2 linked regions of the Rattus norvegicus genome follow. The protein of the gene in region 1 purifies or fractionates together with the protein of each later gene. This does not show direct contact. Links are inferred from orthologs where the notes say so. Each region holds a gene or a part of one and is shown on either strand. Other genes may lie near its edges.

Evidence for each region.
Region 2: the proteins of Rnf25 (region 1) and Ube2e2 purify together in Homo sapiens (affinity purification with mass spectrometry; 3 studies listed by BioGRID and IntAct, counting the BioPlex papers as one, with this or other methods). This does not show direct contact. The link is inferred for Rattus norvegicus from reciprocal best matches to the Homo sapiens genes RNF25 and UBE2E2.

What each region holds. Positions count from the first base shown.
Region 1 is NC_086027.1:83,622,887-83,627,283, forward strand, and holds the start of Rnf25 (E3 ubiquitin-protein ligase RNF25), read right to left. Parts: upstream 3,075-4,397; 5' UTR 3,067-3,074; coding exon 3,026-3,066; exon of another isoform or gene 3,019-3,025; intron 2,437-3,018; exon of another isoform or gene 2,151-2,436; intron 669-2,150; coding exon 594-668; intron 396-593; exon of another isoform or gene 343-395; coding exon 243-342; intron 151-242; coding exon 83-150; intron 1-82. UniProt on the Homo sapiens protein: E3 ubiquitin-protein ligase that plays a key role in the RNF14-RNF25 translation quality control pathway, a pathway that takes place when a ribosome has stalled during translation, and which promotes ubiquitination and degradation of translation factors on stalled ribosomes.
Region 2 is NC_086033.1:9,410,271-9,414,648, forward strand, and holds the start of Ube2e2 (ubiquitin-conjugating enzyme E2 E2), read left to right. Parts: upstream 1-1,349; 5' UTR 1,350-1,459; intron 1,460-4,378.

The sequences.
Region 1 (4,397 bases):
AAGCCAATATGAAATCCACACCCTTCCTTCAGCTGGCTGAGCTGAATTTTGTATTGTCCCTGTTCCAACTAGCCCAACTTACTTGTGGATCTGCTCATCTGAAAGTCCTCGGGGGTTACGGATGGAGATCTGGGGCACCTCGTGGGGATACTGATGCAGAAAAGCAACGAACAGTCATGAATGTGATGCACGCTGGGGGCTCTCCCCTTCCTCCCTTGACTACTGTGCAGAGGCCGCCTCACCTGCACGGGGACCTGAAGAACCAGAGTAAAGCAGACAAACTGCGAATCCTGGACCTCTGCGGTGGCAGGGTGCAGAGTGATGAAGATCTCCCATGGTGATCTGCAGGTGGATGAAGTGAAGACGCAGGATGTGACTAGGCAGGGGCTTGAAAGCTAGGGAGGAGGGGGTGAGAGAGTAAAGCAGTAGAGGAATGCACATTGGGCTTGTTTCTCTGGGCTGGGGGAGGAAGGCTTAAAGGAATAGTAGATAAACTTTACCTCTGAGGCAAGGCTCAGAGTACCCTAAGTCCAGATTCTGTGTAGAATTCTCTCACGACTGAGACCCCTGCCCGCCCCTTGCTGAATACGTACCTGCCGTTCCCTTTCATCACCTGTAGTTCGTCCAGATAGATAGATTCTAATACTTCAACTTCAGAGGGAAGGACCCTGGAGAGTAACGGGGAGACTGAATCACCATTGCAATTCTCCCTACCTAAGCTGCCAAGGCTGATGAAGACTGACTTTTTTTAAAAAAAATCTGCCTGAATACATTCTCTGGCCAAATTATTCTTTAAAACTGGGAAGTGTTTCTTCAAGCCAGGTAGAAAGCATGGGAATTAAAGTTTTGGAGATCACACTGCCAACTTGAGAAAACACATTCCCAGAGGAATTAAAACTAACCAAACCGTAACCCAGGAGGAATGGGACCAATCAGAGGCAGGTTCTGGCTCCCTGCTTACATTTCTACAGCGTAGGTTATCCTTTAGTGGGTTTCCCTCTGACCTGCATATTTGACATTCATTCATTAACAAGGCTATCAATATTATTTCTGCCCACCTATATTACTGTATAGCACAGATCCCAGTGTTCTGGCTACAGCCAATATCTTGCCAGCACCAGTCAGTGTAAACATCCTCAAAAGGACATAGCAAGTTAAACAGGTCTAGGTAATATAAAAGCTATACTGTATTAGAAGAGTCATAGGCCTTGTAGCAAATAGTAGAGCAGAAACTATTTACCAAGCTATGTGGTCAGGTTACTTTTTTTAGAAGCCTGAGTTACACTGTCTACCACCTAGTGATAATACAGCATACTCACTAGGGCTACTACGAGAGGTATAAATGATTTGGTTATATAAACTGCACAATGTCTAAGACATAGTATCTAGTTTAAGTGACCCCCCCCCTTAAAAGGAAAAAGGGCTTAGTTTGAGGACCCCGAGTATACACATGATCCAGGATGTGTAGTTAGTCCTGATCATCATGGCCAAGACAGGGCTCGTGGTCCTGATATTAATCAGTGGGCTCACATTTAAACAGAAAAAACAGCGGTTATAACATCGAGGAAGAGTGATTGTCCACAGCGCTACCCAGGTGAATGAATATATATATATATCTGTATCTGCTTTCTTATACAGTTCCTCTCCACCGAGAAGGCGCGCACCCCACTATCACCTCTATCAGTAATGGTTACTATTAGCATTCTTAAGCCTTAGGCAGAAACCTTAAAATACAAAACTTATTATTTTACAAATTAAAAATAAGACATTCGTGCTGGAGAGATGGCTCAGCGGTTAAGAGCACCCAACTGCTCTTCCAGAGGTCATGAGTTCAATTCCCAGCAACCACATGGTGGCTCACAACCATCTGTAAAGAGATCCGGTGCCCTCTTCTGGTGTATCTGAAGACAGCTACAGTGTACTTATATATATAAAATAAATGAATAAATTAAAAAAATCTTAAAAAAAAATAAGACATTCTGGCTACTATAGACTACTGCAAACACTGTTACTCTGTCATGGCTCAGGTGTCCCTTCATATGTTAGAAGTCCCTCCCAACATTGAAAAGCACTAGTCTGGCTGGGCTCCCTAAACCAACAGAACACTGAGGTGCAGCCGCAGGTAAGACTTCCTTCAGTACTTTGCCCACCTTAGGTCAGCTGAGTCTTGGATGTCAGATATAGACTAGGAGTAAATAAGGTCAGAGGTTACAGATGGGGGTCAACAGTAGGCTGTCCTAATACTAACAGTGTAAGGCCTCAACTCAGATGTCCTTTGGGCTACCTTAGTCTCTCGCAGTCTTATACTTAGGCAATTAATGAGAAGCAGGCTTATGCATATTACAAATCCACAGTGATCCTCCCAAGTACTCTATGAGGTAATGCCACACCCACTTTTTTTTTTAATAGCTGACACTGAGCTAGCTGGTTTGGTCGGCATCACATCAAGCTAATTAAATACGAAGTGAGCACATTTTTATCTTATGTCCAAAATCCAAAATCCTTAAAGGTTTTTGGTTTCTTATTAAGAATGCTCGAGAGAGTAGGAGATCTTATGAGGGGAGTAAGGCTTTTCTGACAATAGTTATTAGTGCTGTTGGTTATATGGGAAGATTGAAAAACGCATAGACAGAAATGGTCTGGTCCATGGGGCAGGGTCCTAGAGGCACGAGGAGTGCGTCCGTTCCTAGAGGCGGGAGGTGTGATGATGAGCAACCATCCTCCAGTGCCCAGAAAATCACATCAGGGAGAAGTGGGGCGGGGTAGGCCCGTAGAGTGGGCAATCGGGTCGATAAGGCGTGGGCCCAGCTGGCCAGGCCGCTGTAGACCCAGTCCCTTCCCAGATCGGCGTCCCTCCACCCTCCGTTCCCGGTTCAGTAGCTCGCCTACGAAAGGATGTCAGGGTCTCTTCCATCCCTCTCCCTATGATCCACCCTTTATGCCGGTGGTTCGGACGGTCCGAAGCTGTTGCTAGCTCCCAGCACCAGATCCAGGCAGCCAGCCAAAACCTATGACCCAAAGTTACCAGTCCTCTTCCCCGGCAGCTGTAGACGCAGACGCCGCCATGTCTTCTCCGGCTCTTGGCCGGAACCGGAAACACCTTTTGGGAAGTTAGAGGCGGAAAACTAGGGCGGGGCGGAGTAAAAGAAAGCTGGCGCCGTTTCTAGGCAACTGCAGACTCTAGATCCTTTGTGGGGTCTGCTAGCCAAGCGACAGAAGTGCCCTAGAAAGTGCTAATGGGCGGTTCGCATCTGTCACACACCTCTGAGAGCTTTGTCCTCTAAACTTCTGACCAGTTCCAGGGAGTAAAACTGGTAAGAGTGTGGGAAACTAACGAGAGCTGCAACGGAATGGAGAAAAGTAACGCAGGCAGCTGGGAGGGACCCCGGTAGAGGCCCAGGGCCACCAGCCCTCAGTCTGGGCAGTTTGAAGGTCTAGGCTGGGGGCAGGGTAGGGGACCTCGGGTCAGGATCGGAGTGGTGTTGCTGGGCCAGCTGAGGATATCAGGGACTTGGGAGAGCAAAAAAGGAGCATGTTGGTGAGCATTGCTAGAGAGGGGAAAGGGGACACCGGGCACCTAGCCTGGGTGGGGGTGCCCGAGACATTCTAAGACCTGATCATCTTTCCACCCTGGTCATGTATTCGAGGCCTTGGTTATTGTGAAAAACAGGAGAAAGCAAGGCTGATAACGTGTATCTTTCTCCCATGTTGTGGGCCAGGCCTCCCAGATGTGTGGAACCATCCCTGGATCTATAGCTCTTTGTCACCGTCTTCTTTCTGCCTTCTGAGAGACCCTGAAACCCTTGCCATGGAAAAGTACCACGTTTTGGAGATGATTGGAGAAGGCTCTTTTGGGAGAGTGTATAAGGGCCGGAAAAAATACAGTGCTCAGGTAGTGAACAAGGATATCTTTTAAGTGGGATTTGGTGACCCACTTGTCCAGTAAAGACTTGGGACAGAAGGGCTGCACGGTGTATATTTCTAGACCCTGACTCCAGCATACTTCCTAGGGTATATAGGCTCAGAAATTTGATTTCTTGGAATCAAATCCCGGCCTTAGAACTAGGGGCAAACTACCTAACCATTCCATGCTTCAGTTTCCCCAAACTGTACACTGGGGGAAGATTGATAGGGTCTGAGGATTAAATGTACTTTACACTTAATCACTTAATACGATGCCTGACATCTACTGAACGACAAAAATTATAACTGTCCTTTGTATGACCTACGAAGATGACCCCTTGAAGTCCTTCCATCTCTCCATCTTCTTTCTCCTTCCCCCACATCTCACCTGAGTCCTTTGCTTATGTCAGAAAACCTCTGCCAGGGTCCCATCAAAGGGATCTATTTGCCAGTAACTGTTTCCCCCAGTGATGGGTTGACAAAGCCAGAGTAAA
Region 2 (4,378 bases), on another chromosome or scaffold:
AAACATTCTTGAGCTGACATTCCTAAGGACAAAGGTGCTGTTATTTTTCCTCAGTGGTGAGTTCCAGGCTAGACACCATTAGCTGCTTGGGGCAGTTTTCAGTGACTTAATTAGTTAAAAGCCAACTCTTGAAGAATGCATCTCGTGGAAGCATTTTCTGTTCCAGAAGCCGGTTCTGGGTCTTGTATTGCTCTAGTCTCTGGCGTCTTTTTTCACTAGTTCTTGATTGACTCAGGGCTTCACATTCTCATGGTGGCCTATGGCCACCTGTTAGGTGTTAGGCTGTTAGGCTGGGTTCCCCATGGTTTCCTATGTATTGGCTATCACTGTTCAAGTGTCTTGGAGCGTAATGGGTCTTCCCCTCTCATCCGTGAGAATGGAGGTCCCAGCCCTTTCTGTTGGGCAGAACTACTGCATGGGCTCAACCGCTCCCAAGAATCCTCACAGAAGTTAAGAGTAGTCTTAGATCTTAGCTGTTATGATAGGCTGGAGGGCCGTGTGTGTGTGTGTGTGTGTGTGTGTGTGTGTGTGTGTGTGTGTGTGTGTGGGTGGTGGTGGTGGTGGTGGTGGTGATGAGGTGAGTTCATGGGTGCTGAGTTAACCCAGAATGTGCAATTTTTTCTTCAGTGCCTATTTTGGGCTACAATGACTGGGAAACCTGATATTCCTCAGGCCACTCACAGCACAGCTACTGTCCCACGCGGGTCTTTCAGTGGCAGCCTCCCACTCACTCTGATAGTGCTGCACCCTTCGCCCCGCCCCGCCCCGCCCTCCGCAGCCTCCCAGGGTGGCAGCCAGCATTCCTGGACAGAACTAGGCTCAGCAGGACCTTTCCTGCAGCAGTTATGGGGTAAAGCGAGGCTTCATCCGGGCCCACGCGAAGTTTCCCAACCGCGGGGCAGGTGGGTCCTGCACGAGCACAAGCTGGTGGGTGCATGGTGTGTGTGGGTCGGGGGGGAGGGGGTCTCCCTACCCTTCATCCAACTCCGCCGCACTGCACCCTCCTGAAACGCACCCCCACCCCTTAGCCCGCGTGTCCCTTTAATGCGTGTCCCTTTACTGCGCGCGCTCGTCAAGGTCCTCGCGTCCCTCCCTTCGCGCCGCCGTCGAGCCTCGATTTCCCTCCTCCATTTCCCTTCGCCCTAACCCGCCTTTACCGGGCCCAGGACTCAGCTGTCACTTTACTTTTGCGCGCGCACCTTACTGGTCCCCCCCGCGCGCGGGCACGCGCCGGCGGGGGCGGGGCCAAAGCGCGTCGCGGGCTCGCGGGCGCGGCACCGCGAGGCCGACGTGGGGCTCGCGCTGTCGCGGGCTCTCGGGGCAGGCAGGGCGAGTGCGCGCTTGGGAGGGGGCGCGCGCGGACGGCGGGCGGCGGCGGCAGCGGCGGCTCGCGGAGGCGGCGGCTTCACTCCCGGACTCGGCGTCCGAGCCGCGGCTGGAGCGCGGGCGGCGCCGCGAGGTGAGTAGGCGCGGGCGGGCGGGCGTGGCCGCGGCCGGAGCCCCGGCGTAGGGCGCGCGGGGACCCCACGCGGCGAGGGGCAGACCGGCGAGATCCCCGCCCCCGCCGCGGCCTCGGCTCGGGCGCGCGCCCGCGGCCCCGCAGGCCTCCCTGGCCCTGCGCGTGCCCGCTGGGGCCCGCGCGCCCCTCCCCCCTCCCGCAGAGTGTGGCCCTCCTTCGCCTTCGAGGACCTGTCCTCTCCCCTCCCGCGCCCACCGCAGCCAGGAACTAAGTCTCCGCAAAGTCCAGGATGGATGTCGCGGTGCAAAGTGCCCGGCTGTCCCGAGCTCTTCCCTAATTGCATAATTGCTACACGAGGTGTCCAAGCGGGCGAGGGCCCGCCCGGGAATACCGGCTGAGTGTGTGCGTGATGCCCCGGGGTGGGGGGCGTCACACTGGTCTTTTGTAATGCCTGGTGCTTGGCACAGTTTGGCTCCGAAGCCGGTTTTCCTCTGGCTTCTCTGCAGCCCCCACTGGCCTGATTGGAAACTGGATTCCCTCTGTCCCCCCACCCCCACCCACCCCCTTCTTTGCTCCTAATGTTTTGATCCATTTGCCTTTTTCCAATTCTAATGAACATAAAGCCTGGCTTCTTGCGTCTTTTCCCACGACTAACCAGAAATGCCCCATCCATCTTCCCTAAAGGAAATTAAGGCCGCATTAGAGAGACATCATCACCCTGGGCTTGGTGGCAGCTCTTGGACCCATTTGCTGGTTTGCAAGACTCTTATCGTCCAACCCTGCATTGTGTCATTTTGAGGGTCTACTCGAGTATTTCCATTTTAAAGTACAAAAGAATTTGCTAGGACTTGCCTCTGATTGCCTTACTGTTCAGAAAGATTTTTAAGAGCTCGTCTTAGTTTTAAATCCTTGCATTTTGAAAAACACGCTCTAGAGATGCGATAACCAAGTCCGAGTCTTGGGAATCTAAATATTTGTCTTTACTCAGGCAGTCAGGATGCTCCTGGGCGCTTTGCAGTTTCGTTTGTGTGCGATGAAGATGGAGTGTTTTCATATGCCGTACCTTGAGCTCTTTCCCCTAGGGCACAGCACTTCCCCCAGTCAGGTGCTCCACTTTTATTTTTCGAATAAATATCTTTTCAGTCACTTGGAAAGCTGGGTAGCGCTACATGATCGGCACATAACATACAACATTTCACGTTTTGGAAAAGTTCAGAAATCCCAAGTAGAGAAACCGGGACGTCAACGACAAGTTCACATTTTCCTGTCGGAGCAGCACAAATGAATTCTTGCTTTCCTGAGCTTTTGAAAATCTTGATATTTGGTGATTTGGATAGTAATGTGGACTGCAGTACTGTTGCTTTCCTCGCTGGGATTTGCAGCCAGATCCTTTAGTTTTTCTGAAACAGGCTACTTTCACTCTCTATGTGCTGGCAGGGAATTTCCAGAACCCCATGACATCACAGAGCGTATAGTCAACAAAGCTTAGAAAATGAGTGTTTCAATTCTTAAATGTAATGCATTTATGTTTAGTTAGGGACTACGGTTTGCTCTGAATCTGAAGTAAAAATACCACTTGAGGTGCCTTAAGTTCTTTGAAACTGTCGTTGGAGGATGCATTTGTGTTTAGTGAGATCCCTGGAACCTAGCTTCCTTCTAGATTAGGGAATTAGCTCTTTAGGAATTAATTTTAAAATGCTAGTAAAGATAATATGTGGAAGTTTTAATGCAGGAGCCTACTCATTTATACTTTAGAGAGACGAGACACCAATTTGACACAGAGTTAATTTGAATTATCTATAGAGGGTCTCCTCTCATATGAATTAATTGTCCCAGAGTACACGATCACGTTGTCCCCTTTTTTTCTGTAATCCAGCAGAGAGTCTCTTAACTTTTGACATTTGAAAATGGGATACAGAGCCTTTGTTTCTGAATGGTTTTTGTAGTGCTTATCAGTGGCCTCAGGAGGATCTGTCATTAGTAGGTAAAACTTTGGGTCAGATAAGGTATCTTAGATGAAAAGTAGAAACGACTTTTTTAAGCTGTAAAACTATAGAAGCGATGCTTCTGTTTAGCCATTTCAGAAGATTCTGGGGAAGTGTTCTGTATGGAACCCAGGCCTTAACATACATGCTTGGCAGGCGCTCTGGAACTGAGCCCCATCCCCCAGACCTTCAGTAGTAGTTTTAGTCCTTTACTCTTCTGGTCTTCTGCTGTAGTCATGGATGTTTCAGTTTCAGGTTGTAGCCCACTACATCACAGAGTGGCCTATTCAGTAACTGTAGAGTTTACACATTATCAGGTGTGCACATAAAGAGTATCGAAACGAGTGCGCACTTCACGACTGACTCAGCACACAGCAGTCATAGCCGTGGCCGCAGTGTAAGGGAGCCACTTTCCTGCAGTTCTGGTGTCTGCCGTGTGATGGATTGCCTCAGGTTTCAGATACATAGAACAGTTTCTCACTGATTTCACATCTCTTAAGAGTGCCCACGGTGTCCTGCCCCTGAGAGCATCTAATCCTAAGAATGCTTCTTTCTGTTTCCCTATACACCTGCTTATCCAGCAAGCTATAGGGTACCTACTTACAAGGCTTTTAACTTTAGGTATATTTTAGCTCAAAGAAGCAAGCTGAGAAAGAGTACAAATATTAAACCCAAGTAATGAGAAGGTTAAAGTCAAATAAGAAACCCTAAGAAATATGCTCAGACTTTTTGAGCTAGACGGGAAACATAACTGACATAAAATTTCAGTGTTCTATTAAGTGACTTTATTGCTCATAAAAGGTGTCTTAGCCATGGAGAATGATGCCCTCCATTTACAGGAGAGGTGGGAGCACAGGCCGGATGTCTTGTGAGTGTTTGACAGCTATTCAAACAGCCTTACTGTTTGTTATGAACAAAGGGACTAGGATGAGGG